Linked DNA regions of Lytechinus pictus. The protein of the gene in region 1 purifies or fractionates together with the protein of each later gene. This does not show direct contact. Links are inferred from orthologs where the notes say so. Each region holds a gene or a part of one and is shown in the gene's direction. Other genes may lie near its edges.

Region 1 (8,508 bases):
GAATTTTGTACTTCACTGATGAATGGGATTCTAGAGCCTGAATAGAAATTTGCAAATTTTCAGCGCAAGAATGATGTTCCAAAAATACAAAAGCAACTATATGAAAAAAATAATTTCAAAGAATGTTGATATCAATTATTCTGATATCAAAGATCAATAGTATCTGTACTTTTCACTTAAAATCAGAATCAAGAGTTGATTGAATTAAAATAAGTATTTTCAAGAACCTTATTAAAATTTATTCAGAACTTTTTGACCTTTACTTGAGAACAATCTTTCTTTTAAAAATATAGAAATTAAATCTCTCATATAGGAATTAAATTTACAAGCAAGAATTATTCCAAAGAAAAATTCCTGATCTAACAATGCTTGTTAAAAAGTAATCTACTAAGAAAACCTGAATTTCAAACAGACAGAAAGACAATCCAGGATAACCTCCAAGAAAAATTTCCTACAAAGAACTAAGGGCCTGAAATTAAATTCCAAGTCCTCGTTCAAACCAGCTGTACACCGAGTCAAAAGGCAAAGCAAACTATTGCACTTGTTGGCTCCAGGTATACACGGTCAGGAAATTACAAACACCCGAGAGATTAAAGTTTTAACAAGATTTTCGGCTGCAAAGATTCCTAAAAATCCCAAGTAATAATGGAATTTGATATCAAATTAAGACAATAGGATTTTTCTAACCTGGACTAATTTTAGTATTTTAGGGTTAGAAATTAATTGAACTTCCAAGACTTTTAGTAATCAGGACAACAGTGCTTATTTACTAATCCACTAAGAAAATTAAAGATCCAAAAAGACTAACGTTAACTTTAACCTAATATTGTTAACGTTAAATCTGAAGGTAAGCTCAGAAGATTAATTAAATAAATTCTTTTAAGTTTCCAGTAAGACAGTCGAACTGACTGTATCTCAAAGATACAAAACTGCAAAGTGCTACTGCACAAACGGTCACAGGTAGTCTAGTATTAAACTCGATGTACGGTACCCGGTACACCAGACAAAGCTAAGCTTGGGAAGATAAATTTAACAAGATCTACTAACAGTATAACACGAAATATGGCAGTATAAAATCAATGAATTTAGCTCAGTTTGCGTAAATATTGAGTCAAGAGACAATTGGCAGGTAAATCCAGCAAATTGTCAGTAAAATCTGACGAAAAGGAAACTCGTTCAAAATTTGCCTTCACGGCGACGATAGCCGGTTCGTGCACGTTATCCCTGCCTGGAGTTACGGGCCAGACAGAGAGGTGCGTTGCGCTGGTGTTGGTTGAAAACCGCGCGACGTTAGACCTAAAATTAACTACAAAAAGAATGATCAAATTACAAAATCAATTTCTACGAGTTCCTACTTAGAACTAATCATTAGAATAAATCAACGGTCAATCACGATAATCGTATAAAATCAGAGTTTCCCAAATTCTAACTCTGATCGACTGTTCAGTGTTCTGTCAACGAGAGTCGCTAGCAGAATCAATGAAATAGAGTCACGTGATTCGGCTCGGCAGTGTTTCGCCGAGTGAGCTAGGCGATCGAGGGATCGAGGGAAGATTGTCAATTTTTTGTCAAAAACAATCTATTACTTCTTGACTTCCAAATAGTTTAATCTCTAAAGCAATGGAAATCACCATCAGCACATAGATTAATCAATAGTGTTGATTCAATTTTAGTTCGAATCAAAACGACATATAAACATGTAACATGAAGAACATAGAGAATAATATATCCAAGTTATCAAGAAATTAATAGCCTACCGGTTTCTCTGCAAAACTACACAATTTCAAAAAAATTATGGAGCCTACACCCAACCAGCCCAAACTACCAATTATTTGATAGGGAAGATAAAAATATTCAGACTTCTCTTTCACAGTCCCAACGGGTCTGACACTGGTATTGACAGAAGTATATTCACACAAATATTTCAGACGTCTATATTTTTTCCAGTCCCAACGGGTCTGACACTGGAATTATTATACAGAAGTCTATTCACACAAATAATTCAGACGTCTATTTTTTCCAGTCCCAACGGGTCTGACACTGGAATAGTTTATAGATGTCTATATATTCACACACAATTCTACCGAGTGGGTGAACAATTAGCAACAATGAGTAACAATAACTTTTAGATTGAATTTAAGACAATGACAATCACAGTTATTAAAGAGAAACAATCACAATATCAAATGTGATGAATGAAATGCTTTAAAGAAAATTCACAAGATGTGTATTGATTAAGAACAAAATTCAAGAGTATATTTTCAAGTTACAGCTAGGTAAGATCCGAAGCTCAGAAAACCCACCTATTTTCTAGTAACAGGTAAGATCTGAAATTCAGAAAAACCCACCTCTAACGTACCACCGACACAAGTGTAATTTCGAGCTGGGTAAAAATTTGAAGTAAATTCAGACTATTACTCAACTCGGCAACCAGGAGTATTAGAACTTCTATCACTCTTTCTGCCACTCAATGTGTACAGAACTGGCTGTAAAAAACACTTGCCAAATGTCGATAGAAAATATATACTGGAAATTTTATAGAAATGTATGAACAACTCTACGCCCTCAAAATATTGGTGCACTGCCCGATATGCAAGAGTATGAAATTCTAGGAAACTTATACCATCTGGAATAATTACTGAGGATCGAGAGAAAATTTCAAGTTCAAATTAACTTTTCCAATCCAATAAATCCACCAAATACTCACACCCGACTTTTTTTTGGAAGTGGTGTGGTGTGAATGTTCCGAATTTGAAAGAAAGCTTATAAAGACAATGGCGGACTAAAAATATCCTCGCCTAGTAGCAGATTTCAAAGAATTTACAAACAAAAGCAACGAGATGGTAAGCGACGCAAAAATATGCAAGGAACGAAATTCTTGATCGCGAGCCAAACAATAGAAGAGACTCGCGAAGAATGCGATGAGAAATGCAAGTGCAACTAAACAATGTAGGGCGTGTGCACCGTGTGCACAGAGAATACCACGTGCGTTGCAATGAAAATGCAACGTAGTGGATATGAAATAATTCCCTAGATATGGCAAATATATATCAAAATCCACTTGTAACAAACAAGAAATGATATCATGTACGAAAAAATGGTAGAACTAAAACAAGATGTGTGCGAGATGCATGCGAATCCACGCAATCACGGCACGCAAATTTCCAATTCTCGGTAGAGAGCGGAAAACTTCCCACTCACTCTCCGTTCGTTATACACTTCAAAATCACTCACAAATGACTTTCATGAGCAAATATGAAGTATGAACGGACATGAAATGATGAAAATGTAAATGACAGGCGCACAGAACGATCCGAAAACTCGCAATCGCCAATGTTGTAAAAATGAAAGTTGTGGGTTACAGATGATGTGATGGCACGAGATACGATACGTTACGATAAACGATGGCGAGTGGTTAAACTTACAAGTACAACACTGACAAGGGTTACGACTCACGAAACTCACGAATGGGTTAATTACCGACGGTACAAGACACGGACAACAACTAATACTCACCTGACACTTGTACTAAGGATTCCACACGGTAGATAACTAACTCAGGTAACATTGACTTCTATATAGCTAGGTTGCAGACCATGGCGCCGAGTGGGGAGCTACTGGGATGTCCTCACTCGATGGCGTCTCTGGGTCTTCTCTCTCTGGTGTCTGGATCCAATCTCTCCTCTCCCAACCAGGCACCAACTTGTGTACGTGCTGTGCAACGCACACACGTAGCAGGCGTAGGAGCATATAAAGGCTCCTCCAATCAGGAGCGCTCCTCGCATACACACAGCACATACACAGACTTAATGTACATGAACATAGATCAATACATAGACTTATACACATACTAATACATATAGGGTAAGTACAGGTACATGGCAAATTTACTACACCTGTACAAAACCAATGTACAGTTTTTGTTAAAAAATATCTCATTTACAAAAAAGAAATTGGAATCTACATCCAACTTGACAAGGAAATATATAAAATTAAGAAATTTCAAATTTCACACTTTGGACCGCAGTTACTGCTAATTCCCTTCAAATGATGATGAAAACTTAGTCACCCTCGATCCTTTTGACGGTCATCGTAAATTGCCATCTTGAATGATGTTTTTACCAGTCGAAGTCGCTGTATATCGTGATTCGTGCCGCTGCGTTTCTCGGAACTTGTTGCTCGCATATCGAAAATTCTAATCAGAAAGCCTTGATAAAACAAAAGCTTTAATCAACGAACGTAGAAGGCAGCAATATACATCTGCCAGTTTTCCTCTCCGGCAAAATATTTGATAAAATAAGGAATAAATCATCGGTCAGTCGGTCACATAGATTTTCGATCTTTTATTTCATAGTTCGTAGTACTTATAAAAAGAAAGATAAGAATCAAACGAAAATGTGGACCGTCGTTTAAGATAATATAAAGTCATATAGACCTAAAAAAAGAAAAAAATCTAGACAAAACACTATATGCCTGAATTGGGAGAAATGATTACACATACGGGCTCGCACTAACGTACTACTGTCGGTGAATGGGGATTGTAGTAAAATATCTGAAATTGTTAAATAAACCCCCAGAAACGATGGTTATTTCTAGACATTCATATGCCATTATTAATATAATGATTGTTGGCATTAACAAAAAGACAAGACAAGATATAGATCTCATGATCTAGTCGATAGATCTCTAGGCCTAGAGTCTCTTCTTAACGTTAGGCCAAGAAAAATATTAAAATAAAGCAGGCACAGGACAGAGCCAGAAATCAGACGAGGAGAGGAAGGATTTTCAAAAAGCTTGTTTATCAGCTAACATTAGACTAGTAGTATTACTATTAAATGCACCCTTAATTTGCAGTACAGGCACTGGTCAGAAATTTGGGATCATCACAGTTTACAGGTACTGTCTCAGTTTTCAAAAATTTCTCCACACAAGAAATCTTGGAAAGTCATTCGCTTGTCAAATGCCGACACCAATCAAGTGTGCTAGTCAATCTTAACATATCATTTTTCATAACAAGATTATTGGAAGATGGCAAGTCGTGCAAAATAGACGGTCAACTTGGGGGAATTGAGGTCACCAAATCTATTTTTAGCACTCTCAATCCCCTATTTGCTGTCTGCATGTATGTCCCGCAGGGGTAAGTGAAAAAAAATATCCCCATAAACAAGGACAATTGCTATTTACATGCATCAAGACATTTGTCTTGGTTTATGAGGATATCCTTGTTTTCTGGGACAATCTCAATTTTTGGACCAGCACCTCTACTGATTTGACATGCACCAGGATTTGACTGCCAATCTTGTTTTCACAAATCAGCACAGCGCACATTCCGTCACCATGGTCCACGGCACACAAATGGCCCCAACAACTTTTGTTACACACATGCACTATCTCCACAGCCAGTTTATAGCGTGCCAGGAAATTCTGATTTTAATTTTAAATTCAACTCCAAAATCCCCTCTGAAAGCCCAATTTTGTAGTAAAAAGGCAGAATCTGCATCTGCGCCATATTTCTAAAGCCTTGCGTAGCTCAGCCCAGACTTATGAAACGGGATCGCCAAAAACTGCGCAAGAAACAAAGAAATCTGTGGTTATGTTCCAAGTTTGCCAATTGTCTTGCAAATTAAAGAGTGTATCTTCAAAATGACCAAAAAAGAGAAAATACCAATTGTAACTTTCCCGTTGTATATCCTGTGCAGTGCTGCGTAATTTGGTGGCTCTCGCATGCATCTACTTTTGATCATTTTGTGATAGGCCACACCAGACTTGTGATTGTGCATGATAGAAGAAGGTAACCAGTAGGCCTATTTTGTTGTCTTTTGTTGTTTGCAGGCAGACGAAGCATGCAAGTGCAATGGTTGGAAGAATCCTAATCCACCTCCTACACCGACACAACCAGCTAGACTGGATATAACAACCCCATTGGCTAGTAGATCAGACCCATGCAAGAGCTGTGGCCATCAACTTGGTATGTATGCTCCCATCTGTACACTTGATTCATTAAGTTTTAACAATAATAGAGGAATAGGGCTTGAATTAAGATTCATAGGGGCAAGGCCATTATGACACTGAAAGGAAAGGAAAGGTAGTGGTCACTTTAGAGGCATCCAAGGTCATTAAAGAAAGGCATTAATAGTAAAATTTACTTTTCTGTGGGACACATGAACTGAATTGCTACAGGGCACCAAGACATTAGTACTTTATGTTCAGTGCTCCATTGTGTCCTTTAAATTGTTTTAAATGTTCCATAGCCCAAACATAAGTATACTGAATCTTCCATACTCCCAGGCCTTGCATTAACCAAAGGCAACAAGATGATTGCTTGGGTGCCACTCAAACTGCTTTTCTGCTATTAAAAGTCCCTTATCACAGACATTGGTTGGCTCTAACATGTTTTTTTTTTCAGGGCTTAGGGGATATACACATCTGTACATATCAATGCATGATAAAGAAAATAGCCATTTATGATATTGGTCAATCTTATGATAATGATGATAATAATAATAATATAAAGTCAAAAAGGGGCCTAAGCTTTCGATCCTAGCAGAATCTTCGTCGGAGGCAAAATGACCAATAATAATAATAATAATAATGATAATAATAATAATATATAGCATTTATGAGGCGCGGATAATAACAATGTGTGAACAAATTTCTTCCAGCTGAACATGTATCCCATCTAGAGGATGTCGCTGAGGAGGAGATTGACAGGCTCCTGGGCATCGTAGTCGATGTCGAACACCTGTTCATGTCTGTCCACAAGGAAGAAGATGCCGATACAAAGCAGGTCTACTTTCATTTGTTCAAGGTATAGTTCACTACATCCTTCTGTATTCAGAAATGTGTTAGTGTTGAATGAAAACTTAACCCTCAATCTCCCGGGGTATTTTGATTCTTGTCATTCCGGGGGGGGGGGGGGGGGGGGGGGGGCCATAATGGCCCCCCCTTAAGATCTCAGCCGTTGATTTTGCGATCACAATGAAAATTTGCATGATGGTAGAGAATGACGTAATCTACGCAGTTGCATTGGTAAATTTCACTGAATTCATATATTTTTATTTTATATGAATTAATTATGCTAATTTATTCATGAAATCATACTTTTTGCTCTGATTCACTAAATAAAGCTCCTAGAATGCTATTTTTTGGTGAAAATATTCTTTATAGCATTCCTAACAATTGTGAATGAAAAAAATTCTGTTACCAAGACCAATTTCTTATGTATTTTATTTTTTTTTATATTTCTTATGTATTTCTTTGTTTTTTTACTTTTTGTTGTTTTTTCGATGGAAATCACTCCAGACTTAATTCTGATCATAAACAAGGCAAAATTAATTAAGTTTAATCGTTAAAAGTAGAAATAATGATACATTTATGAAGTCTGGCCAAATACACAATTTGCATTGGATTTGTACATGCAATCACGTTTATGAGCAATTTTGGGTCTGACATGCACTTACATAATGTTGCGTAATGTCGTAACCGCGTACCCGGGCGTCACAAATTTGGTCTCAAAATTTGCGCGAGACTTGAAAGTAAAAAGTCAGTGAGCGGCGAGGTTAAACAATTTTGCGCAGCAGATATATCGCGAAAATTGTCGAGGGGGGGGCCATTATGGCCCCCCCCCCCCCGGGAGAATTAGGGTTAATGAGGAGGTGCGATCGGTCAGTCGGTAGAGCGGGGAGGTGGGGGGGGGGTTGCTTGGATCCTGGTCACTCGGGTTTGATTCCCACTTGGTGCGCTAGTGCCCTATGGTAAGGCATTTATCCTCATTACCAGGTCCCTCGGAGAGGACCTTAAGCTGTCAGTCCTCTGCTTACTTGCTTACAAGCATACATGCTTTCTTAGCAATCGGGTAAAAAAAAAATCAGCACCACTATCTGTTGAGCAACTACGGAACATGGAAGCTTGAAGGGTTTCAATTTTATCGCTTGACTTGATGTTATACTTGATGCAGAAGATTGGCAAGGGCGGGATTTCAGCTCTGGGCAGTTGAATTAAAATGTGAAAATGTCATCTCATTTTTCAAATATGTTATTGTTGTTTTAGCTTTAAAAAAGTGAATATTTGCGCAAAAACAAATCTACCCTTTCTTATGCTCTTTTCATGATGTTAAGCTTAATAAAGAATTTCATGTCTAAAAATGTGAAACATATTTGACTCATAATTTTTTTTGATGTATTCCTTGTACAGCTCCTGAGGAAATGTATCCTGCAGATGAACTCACCATCGGTAGAAGGTCCTTTAGGTCGACCTCCTTTTGAGAAACCAAGCATTGCAAAAGTAAGCTCCAGAGATTACTCATTTGATTTTATAGTATACTGCATGAATGTCTTATTGGTAGTAATAACTGAAGTTTTTAAATTTACTATCAATAGTTGCCTCTTGTCTTTTATATGTACCTTGTCCCCTTGCGCAACATTTTCTATCTGTACGCTAACTTGTAGGCCTCCTTCATGTAGGTTGATAACTTGATGTTCAATTAAATGTTACAGGAAGATATGAATT
Region 2 (7,818 bases), on another chromosome or scaffold:
GAAACGTTTGGACCAAACATAGGATCGGAGGAAAGAGTAATTTCATGGGAGATGGGGCACAGGGGATACAGGGGAGGGGGGGGGGGTAACCTGCCTGTGGGCTGTTGACCCACAGTAAACATATTTACATCTGGAAATATATAGGCCGTAGCTGTAAGTGTGACATCCGGAGGAAGAAGCATTTACACTCTTCATTTCACAAAACAGTTATATGCACATTTCGGTCGGTATGCAAATGAGGGAACTGATGACATCACTCACTCACTATTTATTTTGTATTATATTATATGCAATATGAAACATTTTGATTTTCTCGTCATTGTCATGTGAAATAAAGTTTCATTCCTCCCTGAACACGTGGAATTCCACTATTTTAACATTTTGTGGTTCAGGCAAGGAGGTTCTAATTGTCAAATTCGTAAAAATTGAAATATTGTATAATTCAAATAATGAAAAACAAAAGAAATAGTGAGTAAGTGACATCATCGACTCTCTCATTTGGATATAACTGACTCGTTCATATAACTATTTTGTGAAAAATAAGCGTAACTTTGAAATGTCATAACTTTCTTATTTTACATCCGACTTTTAATTGATGAAATTTTCAGCCTAGCATTGTGCTTGTCTGATTTTTCTCGAATGATTCAAATCAACAATTTTCTGAGGTGGACTTGACCTTTAAAAGGGAAGTTCACCCCGACAAAAGGATAGAAGAATTATTAAAAAAATAGGTTAAAGGAAAATCCGTCAAAGATCTAAAAAAAAGTTATCAGAATTAGATTTTTTTTTATTTGTGACGTCATATACGAGCAGCTTCCCATGCATCGTGAAAAAAAATTCTAGAAATGTCATTTTCTTAAAAAAATGAAAATGGATTTTATTACACCTTCAGCATATCAGCAGACAAATCATTTCATACTTACTCCTGAAAAAAGAGAATTTTTGTCATGAACCATTAAAAAAATGAAATTTATGCATTTCATATTACATAGCATATGGGGCAGCGGCAGCTGCACGTAATGTAAACGCGGATCACAAATTAAAAACTTAAAGTTATAATATTTTTCAAACTTTGATGGATTTTCCTCAAACCTTTACCGATATTTTTTTTTCTATTTTTACAACAAACTTAAAGTGACCAATTTCGCTTAATTTGTCCAAAATTGTGTTTTGGCAAAAAGGGAACAGTTATAATTTCTGTGCCCGTACCCCGGCCATTCTGAAATCTGGCCTGGATCCGCGCATTGGTGGCGGAAGCATAAAAATAGCAAATGAGACGCAGGGGCCGATCCAGCTTTAGCCATCGGGGGGGGGGGGGGTGGAAAAATACCTTCATCCACATTTTCCCCGATCGGCCGCTAAAAAAATTAAAAGCTAAATATTTTGTTTCGTTTTGAGAGGGGTATTCCTATGACTGAAATTTTAAGTGCCTCTTAGCTTTATTTTCACAAACAAGATAAGATACTCAAAAGGCCTAAATGAATAATTTTTGGAAATTTCATGTATGAACAAGATGTGTAGGCCTATATACACAAATGCAAACACAAGCCATGGCCCTGGGAAGCGGGGGTGCAGGGGATGCTTCGATCAGCACCACCCAAAATTTTCTTGGGCCCGTGCTGCATGTATTATTTTCCATAGGCAGCACCCGGAGAGGTATTCTGGGAGATGTGTAAAAATGACCTTCATTTTGTAGTGAAACCTTGCAGTGAAAACTCCTTTTTCTTTTCAAATTTACATCAGTACTCTTAGTAAAAAAATCGTTCCAAGGGCCCCGGCGCAATTCCAACCGGAAAAGGGAATACAAATTTTTGTAAAAAAAACGCAAAACGGCGCGAGCTGACTTTTTTATACTCTATTTTTAAAATAGTACTATAGGCACATTTTTTAAAAAACAAGTTGCGTTTCTTAATAATTAAAACGTACGAGCCCGGATCGCGAGCTAATTCCTGTTTTTTTTAAATTTATATATTGACTCGAAAGGAAATCTTTTAAGCACTTTTAACATTCAGGAAAAGAAGAGAATATGGGTTTCATTAAAATTATGATGCCGGCAAGAAGCGCGTGCTGATTTATTTATTTATTTTTTTTTTTTTTTTAGGGGGGGGGGGCGATTTCGACCTATGAATTTGACATTTGAGCAAATGTTATAGGCCTGATCATGAACAGGATTCGTATCTAACTATAAGCAACTCATGCGAATGTAAAGCGCGAGCCTGAAATATTTGATAGAGGCCGGCCTACACTGACTTGAAAAGTGTGCATTTCTGAAGGAGTGAAATAAACACATTTAGGCTTGATATAGAAAAAAATGATGTTTCTATTATAATCCCCCTCATAGTATAAAATCACTTTCAATTTCTCGAGAATGAATTGGGAATAATATCACACGAAAAAGGCTCTATAATCAAATCATGCTAATGGTGGAGCTGCTGTACAATCAGCGGCGTAACAGGGGTCGGTGGCCGGGGGGGGGGGGGGGGGGCAAGAGCCAAAAAATTTCCCGGTCATATCATGGTATGAACAGGTGTAATGAGGCGACTATTTTGAGAAGGCCAGACATTGCGTATCAGGCAGAATTTATCTTGTAAAAAAAGTTGCGAGCGAGCGAAGCGAGCGAGCAAAAATTTTGACCTTTTTAATACAAAAATCCAATTTTGGGATAGATTTTAACATGATATCCAGAGAATAATATATTTCACTCTTCTCTCTTTAGATTCCTTTTTTGTGGTCTGTACGCCACTGTGAACAGGATTCTTTGCGGCAGTAGCGTGAAGAGTAAAAAAAAAAAAACGAAGGGCGCAGTATAGCACATGTGCTAAAAAGCTGCTTTATATAAGTCCCGAGCGAGCGAAGCGAGCGAGAAAAAATCACCTTTTCCTGAGAATCTAACTTTGAGTTATTTTTTATTCAGTAAATAAAATCATATCCTACACTTTTCCTTTGCTTTTCTTTCCTCCTTTTTTGTTGTTCTTGTTTGTAGAACTTTTTGAAGCCATGGCCCAACCCTTCCATACGCTGTGCTGTGCGGTTGGGGTCCGGGGCGGAGCCCCCGGAACTTCTTGATATCAAAGCCATTTAAACCTCGCAGATTGCCGCTATTTTAATCAAATCGCGGGCATATACAGAATGTAGCTTTATTTTACACAACACATTTATTCAACCCAGTTGCGTAATGAACCAAATATTTTGAGGGAGCAAAACATTGCAATGTGGGAAAAATTTGTAAAAAGTCGCCAGCGTGCAAAGCGAGCTGGAAAAAAAAAATGCCCATTGTAATTAAATTCTAATTATGTGATTGATTTTTCCATTATATTCAGCAAATAACACCTTTTATTGTTTCCATTCATTTCATACGTTGTCTCCTATAATTTATTTTATTTCCTTTTGGGTGTGGAACCAAGACCCCCCCCCCCCGCCTGTCTGCCAGTGATTGAACGGGGGGCGTTATAGATGAATGTTATAAATGAAGAGCCCCCCGGTAGCTTATTTGCATAACATTTAGCAAGCTTAAAGCACAATGTTGTATGCAGTCCATTAGCTTTTGACTAATTACATTCTACCTTCGTTTCCCGCAATTGTTTGCCATTTTTTCATCTTTAATTTATTTCCCACCCTGCTATTGCATTACATAGGCCTATTTCGGAATGATTTGCTCTTTCTCATATGTTTTTCTTTCGTATATTTTTCCGCTTTCCTTCCTTTTCCATTTAAAAAAAAGTTTTTTTCTTCGTTTTCTTTTCACTTTTCCCTTTCCTTTTCCTCCTTTCCTTTTCCCCTTTCCTTCCCCTAATTTCCCTTTCTTTCTCCCACTTTTTTTGTCTTTTTCCCGTTTTTCTTTTATTTTCCCGGTGAAATCCGCCAGGGGGGGCAACTTGCCCCCCCCCCTGCCCCCCCGCCTGTTACGCCACTGTGTACAATGTGACGTTACCGGCAATATCAAAATTTACAAAATTCATGCTCCGTTATTCTTTAATTGTCGTATTTTCATCAAACTTTCAGCAAAAAATTTCTCTATATTTTTTTTTTGGCATTCATTAAAAACAACTTATCGTCAAAGTGTATATACTCCCCCTTTAATTCAAAACAATTTGAGACGTGAAGAATTTTTTATATTAAAAAAAAATGTTTTTATTCCTTTATTTATAGCTGTGCTGATCAGCCAGCATGTATGCAGCAATTAAGTGCAGTATGCGGAAACGCACTGAACTAATGGTGACGTCCACTGAGATGTGATTGTAGAAAAAAAATGATCAAGTAGAAAAAAATGATGAAGGTACGGTATCATATTCTAAATTTATCATGAGAATCAGATATTAATTTTGTTGTCACGCAACCAAGAGTAAAGACAGATTATCAAAGTAGGGTTTCCTTTGCTTCAGCCCCCCCCCCCCCCCCAATTTTCCAGAACCGTGTACAAAAACGTAAAAATCATACCATAGGATTGTGATTTTTTGCATGGGCAGCCCCCCCCCCCCCCCCCCACTTTGAAAACCGTTCCGCAGCCCCTGTAAAATCATGTTTTTTTAAGTCGAACCAATCCCAAGTGATGCAGGGCAACCAAATTCGTATCTTTGGTTTCGGTCGGCCGGTCGTCGGCGGTCGATATAGCCGGCCTAGCCTAGCCTGGAACGCGCGGCACGCGCCGTCTCTTTTTACTGGGTGATCACTGACGGGCAAAATTGCGAAAGGAACTCTGCCATCAAAATGTCAAATTCTAATTTAAAGAATGTGAAAGAGGGTAAGAAAACTGTTAAGTTTTATTTTAATCTAGCAACGATGCCACGATGTGCATACTGGCTACTAGTAGAGGGGTTAATCTTTGTATTTTTGTGTTATTCTACACTATCTTTTTTAATTACATTCACCTCAGTCCGACATGTCCATATTCATGTCGGACGAGACACACTGGCCTCTGTTCTGAGCCATAGCCAGTGGCTTCCAATTTTTCAAAACGTAACCTCTTGGAATTTACTCTGAAAGTTCCTGGAATTTTACAAAATATCTCGGAATTTAAAAAAATGATCTCTAGTCTTTCATAATATGTTATAGATCTAGTAGTTCTCTTCTACACACAAAAAAGATGAAATTCTATTTACTTTGGTCTTTGCTGTATTTTTATTTTAAATTTAAATTTTAATGAGCCAAAAATTTTGAGGGGGAGAAATATTACTAAAATAGACGTATGGCAAGTTCCCCCAAGTCTGCGTAGTCCCCCTTGTCTGCGCACACGCGTATCTGCGCGATTCTAGTAAAAGAAGATACGCAATGAGCACGAACTTTACACATGCAATACTAGGCCTAGCAATACATAGACAGGTATTCTTTAAAAAGTCCGACTCAAAATGGTGGAAAAATAATGAATTTAGGGCATTTCATATGATGGCCTCAAAATGCAGCCTTTCTCATCAAAATCCCAGAATCGTGTGCAAAGTGAATGAGTGCGCAGACAGGGGGTACCGTTTTTTTTTTCAATCTGAAAATGACTGCCCGAGGTTTTTTCAAGAAAATCCTATATTTTCTTTCATTTTTTTTAATGAGAAATTTGGTACACTTGCTCTTAATAATATAAGGAACATTATTAACTGAAAAGTTTTGTGAAATAAGAAGAAATTCATGTTAAATCTTAACTCAAATTGTTAGGTGCACAGACTTGGGACCCACCATCATAGCACTCCTAGTACCAATGAGGTCCAACATTACATGTATGGACCTCATAGGCGACATCAGTAGTATTTTTGGTTAGAAATCTCTGAGAACAGGATATTTAGGCAATTATATCACAAGTACAAGCTCTATTCCTTTCTCTTATTTAAATTATAATTTTATAGTGTAAATGCATCGTTAGCAACAACAAAAAATGAAAGAAATGAAGGGGAACTTACATTTTCACGGCTTTTTCCTGATTTTCTGGGCAGCTGCTCTTCTCTTCTGACTCGCGATCGAAGCTGATATGAAGATCACGTGATTCGCGTTCTCGTCAGCTGATCGGTTGGTTATTCTTTTCGTCAGACGTTAATAATATATATTTTATAATGCTAGCATTCATCGCTAATTTAGGTGAAAGAGATTGAAGTTAAACAGCGCCAGGTCGGAATCATAATTATTTTGGAAGAGTGTATTTATACACTCGATCTCATACCTGACGTAGACGGCGCTATTCAACAAATGCACAATCTTCAATATAAAAAATAAAACAGAAAGAACGCCTTGAACACAGGCCAAAATGCCTAACGATTTATCCGCGGCATTAACAACTATCGTAAAGGGCGCTCCATTTATCAATAAAGATGGACGCTAAGCTGTCTATGGCGACAAAATTTGCCGCAAATATTTACGAAGAATTGTGAGAAATGGTCTGAAAATGCAACAAAAGAACCGGTGAGTACCGATTAAACATTATTAAAGTTATAAATAGATTATACATACCTTGTAGATTTAGTTTTTAAGGTGATATTAGTGCTTAGTTCTAAGCTAGGGAGGCCCAAACGCGCGTGAGTGGAGTCCCAGTTTATTAGCACGGGTAAGTATTGGGGTGTCGCCTAGAGTGCATCATAGTTCTATAGACCTATCGGGCAAAAGAATTTCGAGCGAGAGATCCAATTTTGAGATAAATTTTTACATAATATTCAGAAAATATTTCTGGAATTGAAATGATAACTTCCCGGAATTTCTCACTTCCCGAAATGATCTTGGAAAATAGCAAAACTTCCCGGAATTTCCTGGATTTTGGGAAGAGTGGAAGCACTGCACTGCTCTGAGCACAACGAATCTCGCGCTCGCAATAACGTGAGTGGGCAGAGCTGAGCTGCAGTATTATCAAACAATTTCAGCATATCTGTATCTGTATTGTTGAGTCAGCAAAATAAGTCATCAAACTGCCACCATAAATAAACGAATAGGTCTAGATCTACCTACTAACATTTTTGCCCGAGATCAGTTAGAATCTAGACCTACCTGTACTTCTTGATCTAACGTGTTAGATCTACACTTTAGTTTAGTGTACTCTACACTCACAGTTCTAACTTTTTTGTTAGACCTTTTTTTTATAATGGGGTGACCATAATTTGTGCACATTTTAAAAATTATGAAGAAGATTTAAAAAACAAAATTCTCACAGTTCACACAAAATCAATCAAAATCATGAATAGATCTTACAAACAAAAGGCAAGATCCCAAAATCAAAATTGCTTGACGGAATTATGAAGTAGGTCAAGGGTTTTGCTGGTATCGCAATCTCAAAATTCCATGGCAATTGACTCATGCATGCTCGGCTGAATAAGTGTCATAAAAAGTGTAACCTTAATTTGCGCACAATCGTTTTTGCAAAGCTTTAGTAATTAAATCCAACAGACAAAGGTAAGATAATTGTATCAGATGGAGGTTAAAATGCCTAAATTTGGTTGGTATCACATTTTACTTACGTATCTGGAGACCTCTGCTTGCAAATTGGCGATTTGTCGTTGCTTGTCGAGAAGTTGGATTTTCTCAGAACAAATTTGCTGATATTTTTTCAATATTTTCACAAATTGATACGGTCTTACCTTCAAGAAAATTACCACACTGAGATTTTCAACCATGTGCAAAATTAGGTGATGCGTGAATTAAGTTCACACTACCATACAAAAACTTATCAATCAGCTGAAAAAGGCTTGTTTCACAAAAGGCTTCCAAACTAGTTAGGCTCTACTTGATGACCGACGTGCATAACCTACATAAAAAAGCGCTAGAACTTCAACTACGATCTGTATTTAGGGATGTAATGTCACAATAAAAGTAAGTTAATTCGATGTGTAAGTTGGCGCAATTAATTTTGAT
Region 3 (8,467 bases), on another chromosome or scaffold:
CAGACTGCATGGACAAAAGCATCGTGCATGGCAACAAGCCCAAGTCACTAAACACCCAACTGACATTGCTAGAGCTAGGAGACTAGCAAAGGCTCTTCAATGCCTCACAAGAGATCTGCGAAGTAACTTCGAAAAGGACCTTGCGAAGAATGTGAAGACGGATCCAAAAGCATTCTGGAGATATGCATCTGATAATCTAAAGACCAGAAAGGGGCTTCCTGATCTCAAAAAGACGGATGGTACCTTCACTTCAACAGATGAAGAGAAAGCCGAAATCTTGAATGCTTTCTTTGAGACAACATTTACTGAAGAGGACACTTCTTCCATCCCACAGCTTGAACGCAGACAGTCAGCTGGATGCTTATCTGCTCTAGACATAACCCCAGAGGATGTACATCGCAAACTTGATCTGCTTTCCAAATTTAAGAGTGCTGGACCGGATGGTATCCATCCTTGCATTTTACGGGAAACGGCACCTTCAGTGTGTACACCATTGGCCATCATCTACACTAAGTCGTTCAAAGAAGGCAAGCTTCCTTCAGCATGGAAAGCAAGTCACGTTGTTCCAGTTTACAAGAAGGGAAACAAGTCTGAAGCCACTAATTATCGACCAATAAGTTTGACTTCAGTACCCTGTAAGATCATGGAGTCGCTGATCAGAGACAAGATCGTTGATCATCTGATGGAGAATGAACTAATCAGCGATTCCCAACATGGATTTGTCCCAGGTAGATCAACTGTTACACAGCTGCTCCAGACACTAGAGGACTGGACATCCTTACTGGATAAAGGTGAAAAGGTTGATGTTGTCTACCTAGATTTTAGAAAGGCCTTTGACAGTGTACCCCATCAACGTCTTGTGGCAAAACTAGATGCATACAACATTCAAGGGAGCTTCAAAACTTGGATTGCTGATTTTCTCAGTGGCCGAACCCAGAGGGTAGTTGTAAACAATGCCAGATCTCAGTGGTGCACGGTAAAGAGCGGGGTGCCCCAGGGTAGCGTGCTCGGCCCGACATTGTTTGTGTTGTACATCAATGATCTTTCTGATGTTATGGAATCCACTCTAAGGATCTATGCAGACGACACTAAGGCCTTCTCTTCTGTCTCCTCTCCAAATCAATGTGAAGTTTTTCAAGCAAGTTTGCACTCACTGATGGACTGGTCCTCAAAGTGGCAACTTCAATTCAACACTGACAAGTGCAGTGTTTTGCATCTTGGATCAGGTGACCAAAGAGAGCACTACAACATCGGGAGTACAGCACTGAATGCAGTTAGAGAAGAAAAGGATTTAGGGATCATCATTGACGACGATCTAAAATTCCACAAGCAAGTGTCAAATGCTGTCAATAAGGCAAACGGGGTACTAATCAGCATCAGACGTACTTTCCAGTGTCTTGATTCGACCACTATCCCCAAACTATTTAAAGGGTTAGTGCGGCCACTCCTGGAATATGGAAATGTCATCTGGTCACCACAGTACATTGCTGATGCTAAGGCTGTCGAGAGAGTTCAGAAGAGAGCAACCAAAGTAATCTCCAGGATCAAACATCTTCCATACAAGGAAAGGCTTAAACACCTGAACTTACCATCCTTGGAGTACAGAAGAAAGAGAGGTGACATGATTCAAGTGTATAAGATCACTCATGAAGTCGACAGGCTTAACCCAGACCACTTTTTTCAGCTAGCTGACAGTACTACAAGAGGTCATAGGTTCAAACTTGTAAAGCCAAGATGCAGAACAAATGTGAGAAAGCAAGCTTTTAGTCACCGAGTAGTCAATGATTGGAACTCTCTCCCAGCTGAGGTAGTTGAAGCTCCCACAGTAGACACCTTCAAAATCAGGCTAGACCGACACTGGAAAGATAAGCATTATGATTCCCACTACTCTTAACTGGATATGAGAAGTCAATTTTCACCAACTTGCCCCACTGCCTCCTTAAACTTATTGAAACTTATTGAAGCATGAAGGAAGCTGACAAAATTAGAAGATAGACCTGGAAGCTCGACTGCTAATTCAGCATTCTTCCAGTATTTGCGGTAAGGTAAGGTAAGGTAAGTCACTGGTTTTTTTTTCCTTTTAAGTTTATTTTTCCCTGTTTTGGTGCATTTCAGGCCAAAACGGAATAATAATCTTTATTTTGGTCCAGTTCTTTTTATATATTTTCATGAAATAAAGACAGAAATCGATGAGCCCCATCGGGGGGACTTTGCACTGTTAGCTCCCTAATGGCAGCTGCACGATCGCGAGCCATCACAGTGTACATACAAAGAGAAATAAAAAATTTAAAAAAATGTTTAGGCCTAGGCGGTAGGCCTACTTTAAATTAAAAAAAACTCGAAACAGACGGCTGCCAGCTATCTTGTCTAGGCAGAAGGCACGGCACAGAATGCCAGAAATATTCCCTGCATTATTTTCAGCCATCATTACATCACGTTAGTCACACTCAAACACTGACAAATGAAACAAATCAAGACAAGACACACTTGTGACAGGCAGTGGAACTGCAGTGCAGTGGAAGTGCTAGTGCCAGTGGTTGCACTTGCAATGAACTAACCCAGAGAGCTCCCGCCCGCGCAGCGGGCGGGAGCCCAGAAGCTTACCGTGTATTTTACCATTGTCACCGGACTAGGGTTATTTATGGTCTAAATATTTCTCCAAATGAATTGTGAAAACGGAAAGTATATATGGATGAAGGTCTAACGAGTGGCAGATTCCTGACATCTGGGCACAGTCTGGAACCTCAAAAAAACGAAAAGTTCTCTCCTTCTACCCAGTCTCGATCGGCCATTTTGTTACAATTTTTAACAAAAATGGCCGATCGAGACGGGGTAGAAGGAGAGAACTTTTCGTTTTTTTGAGGTTCCAGACTGTGCCCAGATGTCAGGAATCTGCCACTCGTTAGACCTTCATCCATATAATCGTGGTAATTCTATACTTTCTGTTTTCACAATTCATTTGGAGAAATATTTAGACCATAAATCACCCTAGTCCGGTGACAATGGTAAAATACACGGTAAGCTTCTGGGCTCCCGCCCGCGCAGCGGGCGGGAGCTCTCTGGGTTAGCAATGAACATGCAGTGCCAGAGTCGCCGATCGACCAGGGCCCGGGTCGCCGGCCGTGCGTACGGTTGCCTGGCTTCGCTTCAGCTAAATAGTAAATGATCGGGGATCAGTCGACTCGAGTCGATCGACTCCGAGTACGATAGCTAATCAGTACAGACTGTGAATGAAATCAAATGACTAATTTTCTATGTCATGAATTTAATGAAATGTGGTAAATACCCACCTTTCACTCAAATGAGAAACATTCTGCAGAATTAAATGCTTGTTTTCATAAAATAAAGTTTCCAACTCGATCTACGTCTGTCGTCTTCGGCCTCCGACTAACTGGTATTGGTAACGTAGATGGCGTATTCCTCTGTACAAGATGTGGCGCAGATATTGTTTAGAACTTAACTATGCAATGAATTGATTGATTGATTGGTTTATTTTATTTGGCAAGTCACCAGAACATAAAACAACAGGCTTGCACAGGATGACCCACGAAAGCTCGAAAGCTTAATTATTTCCAAAAGAAAAATCTAAAAGAGGACTAGTATGGCTAACATGACTCCGATGCATATTAAACAATAAAAATCAAAAAGGAGCAAAAAATGGAATACAAAACTTTTGACTTCAAAATGTATTTGTAGATCGTACGTGGCTGCATGTATGCATGCAGGCGCGGATCCATTATATCCCCCAAAAAACAAAAAATAATAATGATAATACAATGAAATAATATAATTATATGGGCAAGAGAAAGGGAAAGAGGTTAAAAAGAGAAGGAAAATGAAAAAGAATGAATAAAGAAAAAGTGTGAGATTAAAGAAGGTATTAAGGGAAAATGCTAATAAAGAAAAGGACAACAGTTTCATTAAAGAAAGAAAAATAATTAATCGAAAGCGAAATGGAAAAGGGAAGAAAAGAAAAAGAAGGGAGATGGAGGATGGAAAAAAAAAAATGAAAGGAATGAATTTCAAGAGAGGGTGGAGAAAAGACAAGAAGCCTATAGGAAAAGGAAGAGGGTGAAGAAAAGGGGAAAGGCGGTCAAAGGAGAAGCAAATTAAAAGAATGGAAACGGTATTTACATGGTTGAAAGGGGAAAAAAGGTAAAAAGGGGAATAAAATTTGAGAGAGCCCCTACCCCCTTGATGATTTCCATCAAATATATGGAAGATAAAAAGAAGGGAAAAAAGAAAATGAAGTAAAATTAAGCTCCACCGAGGGGTGCGAAAATTGCCCTATATGGCTCCCGAGATGCCCCTGCATGCCTGCCATCTTCTCACGGACAATGACAAAAGGAACAAGGAAAATAAGTGCATGGAAGGGAAATTAAAGGAAACTTTAAAAAAAAATGTTAAAGGTCAAGTCCACCCCAGAAAAATGTTGATGTGAATAAATAGAGAAAAACCAAACTAGCATAACGCTGAAAATTTCATCAAAATCGGATGAAAAATAAAAAATTATTTATGACATTTTTAAAGTTTTGCTTATTTTTCACAAAACAGTGATATATGCACAACTAGGTGAGTCAGTCGTTGATGTCCATCACTCACTTTTGTTTTTTATTGTTTGAATTAGGCCTATACAATATTTCATTATTTATCTATATGACAATAAGGACCAAAGGGGGACCAATTTGACTGAACCATGTCATTAAACAATGCTAATTCTACATGTTCAGGGAGGAATCAATCGTTGTATCACTTGACAATGAGGAGAAAATTAGAATATATATAATAAAATACAAAAGAAATAGTGAGTGGATGACGTCATAGTCTCCTCATTTGCATACCAGCCAGGATGTGCATATAACTATTTCGTGAAATTAAGCGAAACTTTAAAATGTCATAACTTTCTTATTTTACACCCGATTTTGATGAAATTTTCAGTGTTATGCTTGTTGGATTTTTCTCTTTTATTCAAATCAACTTTTTTGTTAGGGTGGACTTGTCCTTTTTTAATTGTGCCAAGTGTGGATATTAATTAGACCAACTGGTTATGAGACGAAATGGTTATTAGACGAAGTGATGATTGGACCAAATGGTTATTAATGGACCAAATAGTTTTTAGACGAAATGTTGATTGACGGAATGACATTTGGTGAGTGGACGAGTTGGCAGCGAGTATGCGAATTGGCAATTTACCATGCATTGAGATCACGCACGCACCATCATGACGTCATCTTCGCGGGAATCTCTGAAAATAGGTCACTGGCAAATTTTTAAGATCGGTAAGAAAGACCTGTGAACTTGAAGATTTGTGATTTTATACATTGATTTCGATTCTTTGATAGTTGATCCATTGAGAAATGATTCATTCTATATATGTGTGAATGATAAACTCTTTGATTTGAGCTTAAACTAAATTTTTATTGCTTACTAGTGCGTTGTTTGGAAGATGAAAAGAATTTACTGACAGTGATTGCTGTGAATGGGACTGTAGTGTAGATGTTCGAGTAGCTTATTACAAAAATACACACTCGTCTAACGTTAGCTCTGTACTGTAGACTGTAACAAGTGTAACCGTAAGTTGTATGATGGGGGGACCTAAACTAAAGCTACGGCTACGCGCGCACTTTGTTTTCAAACGATAAAAACTATGCCAATTTTAATATTTTAACCATTTGTCTTTCACTAATTTGTAATTAATATTCTCTTAACCAAGAAGAAAATATCACAGAACTCACTAAATTAGTATTTAGACTTTAGTAATGAGCATGATCGGTTAAGCCTTAGTTAAAGGAGAATGAAACTCTTGGAGCAAGTTAGCTTTTGTGAAAGCAGAAAAATCAAAGAATAAGATCAACAAAACTTTGAGTAAAATAGGACTAGCAATAAAAGAGTTATGAGCATTTGAATGTCGAGATCACTAATGCTATGGAGATCCTCTCATTGGCAATGCGACCAAGATCTGTGATGTCACACACGTAGAACTCTCCCATTTGGACACTGAAAATATACCCCAAAACATCTCTTTTTGCTCATTCTAATCATATGACAAACGATTCATCAATGATATAATGTTGTGAAACCTCTGTACTTGTCATCTCATAAAGAGAACACCTCACCTTGTGATAGACTCTATAAAAGTGAGAATATAAGTGAAATAAGTACTAAAGTATTGAGGGAGTTGTACGTGTGTGATATCACAGATCTTGGTCGCATTGCCGATGGGAGGATCTACATGGCACTAGTGATCTCAATATTCAAATGCTCATAACTTTCTTATTATTCATTCAATCTTCCTCAAACTTTCAACAATATGTTTCTTTGATTTTTCTCTTTGATATGGATTCAGATGGTTTCAAGGGTTTCATTCTCCTTTAAGGGTTTTTTTTTTTTTTCTATCAAAATTGCTTTTAAGATATTCTTTGATATCTCAGGTTTCAAAGAACTCGGTTTCATGAAGATTGATGAATCCGAAAGTACTGGAATAGTCCATTTTATTCGTGGGGGTGCTATTACCTCTCATCACGGACGGACATTTTTACTCAAATCAAATTCTCTCTAGTTTTATGGTTTTTAAAGTTATTCTAATTTGGTTTGGATGTTCTTGCACTCTAAACATTAATCTATAGTATTATCAAACAAAAATTAGTAGAAAAAAAATATTGGGAAGTAATTTTTTTTGGTAGGTGTGAACATTTCCATTATTGGTCAAAGTTAAGCTATTTAGATAGAAACAATAAAAATGTTCAAAAATTCTGAAAACCACATTTCTATCATGTCCGTCCGTGATATGGCACATTTAGTGGCTACCTATGTTTGTAGGTAACCATGGCAACAAACTTTTTTCATCATTCAGCATACTTTGTCCTAAGTAACCCTTCACTATAAAACAAAAAGGAACCATGTTCATCTTATTCCCAATTTGTTACAAGCCTTCAAAGTTTTCAAAATCTATCAAATGTCCGTCCGTGATGAACCGATCACGCTCTAATACGAAAAACCCGCCGTGTTTTCCGAACACCTCTTGTCTTGATTTCGTCGCCGATGTAGAAGGGGTCCTAAAGTAAGCTACGCACTCGATTTATCATGCAAAGAAATAGTATTTCCTGTGCCTTAATTTCTAAAATATGTTCGTATTATTATAGGGAAATATGAAATTAAAGTGAACATAAATAAAAAATTCCAAACATTTGCTGGTTTTCTCTGCATTCAAGAATTTATTGCAGCCTCTGTAAAAAAATTGAATAGGATCGTTCGTCACTCTGCAGTCACAGCTTCACACACAGAGCTCGAGTGCGCATTTATTTTCCCATTGAAATTGCATGCGCGATGGAGTGGTGCGTAGCTTTAGGACCCGCGCAGCTTTAGGAACCCCTACCATAACTCGGTACGTGCACTAGCTAACCCAGGGCCAGGACTCGTCCGTGTAATAGTAATACTAGTCAAACATTAGACGGCTGGCAGCCGTCTGTTTCGAGGAGTTTTTTAACATTATTATTATTTTTTGAATTTCTCGTACACAGACGGCTCGCTATCGTGCATGTGCAGCCAATAGGGGGTTAACAATGCAAAATTCCCATGTCGGGGCACATATTTGTCTTATTTCATAAAGATATATATAAAAAGAAAAACTAGATTTTAATTCGTCATGCGGACGAATTAGGTGGTCTGTCGTATAGAAAGATAAACAGGAAAAAAAATATTTAAACAGATATTAGATTGAAAAATAGATAGACAAACAGATTTACATATTCAAACAGATACATATAAGAAAGATAATAATATATATAGATGGATGGAGTGATGGATGGAGAGATAAATGATAGGTGGTTATATTAATAAAACATAGACATATAGATAGATAGAGAGACAGACATATAGATAGACAGACATATAGATAGAGAGACAGACATATAGATAGATAGAGAGACAGGCATATAGATAGATAGATAGAGAGACGATAGGTGGTTATACTAATAAAACATAGATAGACATATAGATAGAAAGAGAGACAGACAGACAGATAGATAGATAGATAGAGACAGACATATATATAGATAGAGAGACAGACATATAGAGAGATATAGAGACAGACATAGATAGATAGAGAGACGGACATATATATAGATAGAGAGACAGACATATAGATAGACAGAGAGACAGAAATATAGATAGATAGAGAGACAGACAGATAGATAGATAGACATATAGATAGATACAGAGACAGACATATAGATTGATAGAGAGACAGACATATAGATAGAGAGACAGACATATAGATAAATAGAGACAGACATATAGATATATAGAGAGACAGACATATAGATAAATAGAGACAGACATATAGATATATAGAGAGACAGACAGACAGATAGATAGATAGATAGATAGAGACAGGCAGATAGATGGATAGATAGATAGACATATATCTAAACAGATAGATACATATATATTAGACAGAGAGGGAGAG

The links. The genes of interacting proteins can lie anywhere in the genome.
Region 2: the proteins of histone acetyltransferase KAT2B-like (region 1) and transcription initiation factor TFIID subunit 10-like purify together in Drosophila melanogaster (affinity purification with western blotting; 4 studies listed by BioGRID). This does not show direct contact. The link is inferred for Lytechinus pictus from reciprocal best matches to the Drosophila melanogaster genes Gcn5 and Taf10.
Region 3: the proteins of histone acetyltransferase KAT2B-like (region 1) and DNA polymerase epsilon subunit 3-like purify together in Drosophila melanogaster (affinity purification with mass spectrometry; 3 studies listed by BioGRID). This does not show direct contact. The link is inferred for Lytechinus pictus from reciprocal best matches to the Drosophila melanogaster genes Gcn5 and Chrac-14.

Annotation. Positions count from the first base shown.
Region 1 is NC_087257.1:2,582,804-2,591,311, forward strand, and holds the start of histone acetyltransferase KAT2B-like, read left to right. Parts: upstream 1-5,231; 5' UTR 5,232-5,968; intron 5,969-6,662; 5' UTR 6,663-6,748; coding exon 6,749-6,808; intron 6,809-8,193; coding exon 8,194-8,283; intron 8,284-8,508.
Region 2 is NC_087258.1:11,652,601-11,660,418, forward strand, and holds the start of transcription initiation factor TFIID subunit 10-like, read left to right. Parts: upstream 1-4,553; 5' UTR 4,554-4,707; coding exon 4,708-4,741; intron 4,742-7,818. UniProt on the Drosophila melanogaster protein: TFIID is a multimeric protein complex that plays a central role in mediating promoter responses to various activators and repressors.
Region 3 is NC_087259.1:11,820,503-11,828,969, forward strand, and holds the start of DNA polymerase epsilon subunit 3-like, read left to right. Parts: upstream 1-5,202; 5' UTR 5,203-5,279; intron 5,280-8,467. UniProt on the Drosophila melanogaster protein: Accessory component of the DNA polymerase epsilon complex. Participates in DNA repair and in chromosomal DNA replication. Histone-like protein which promotes nucleosome sliding of ATP-dependent nucleosome remodeling complexes.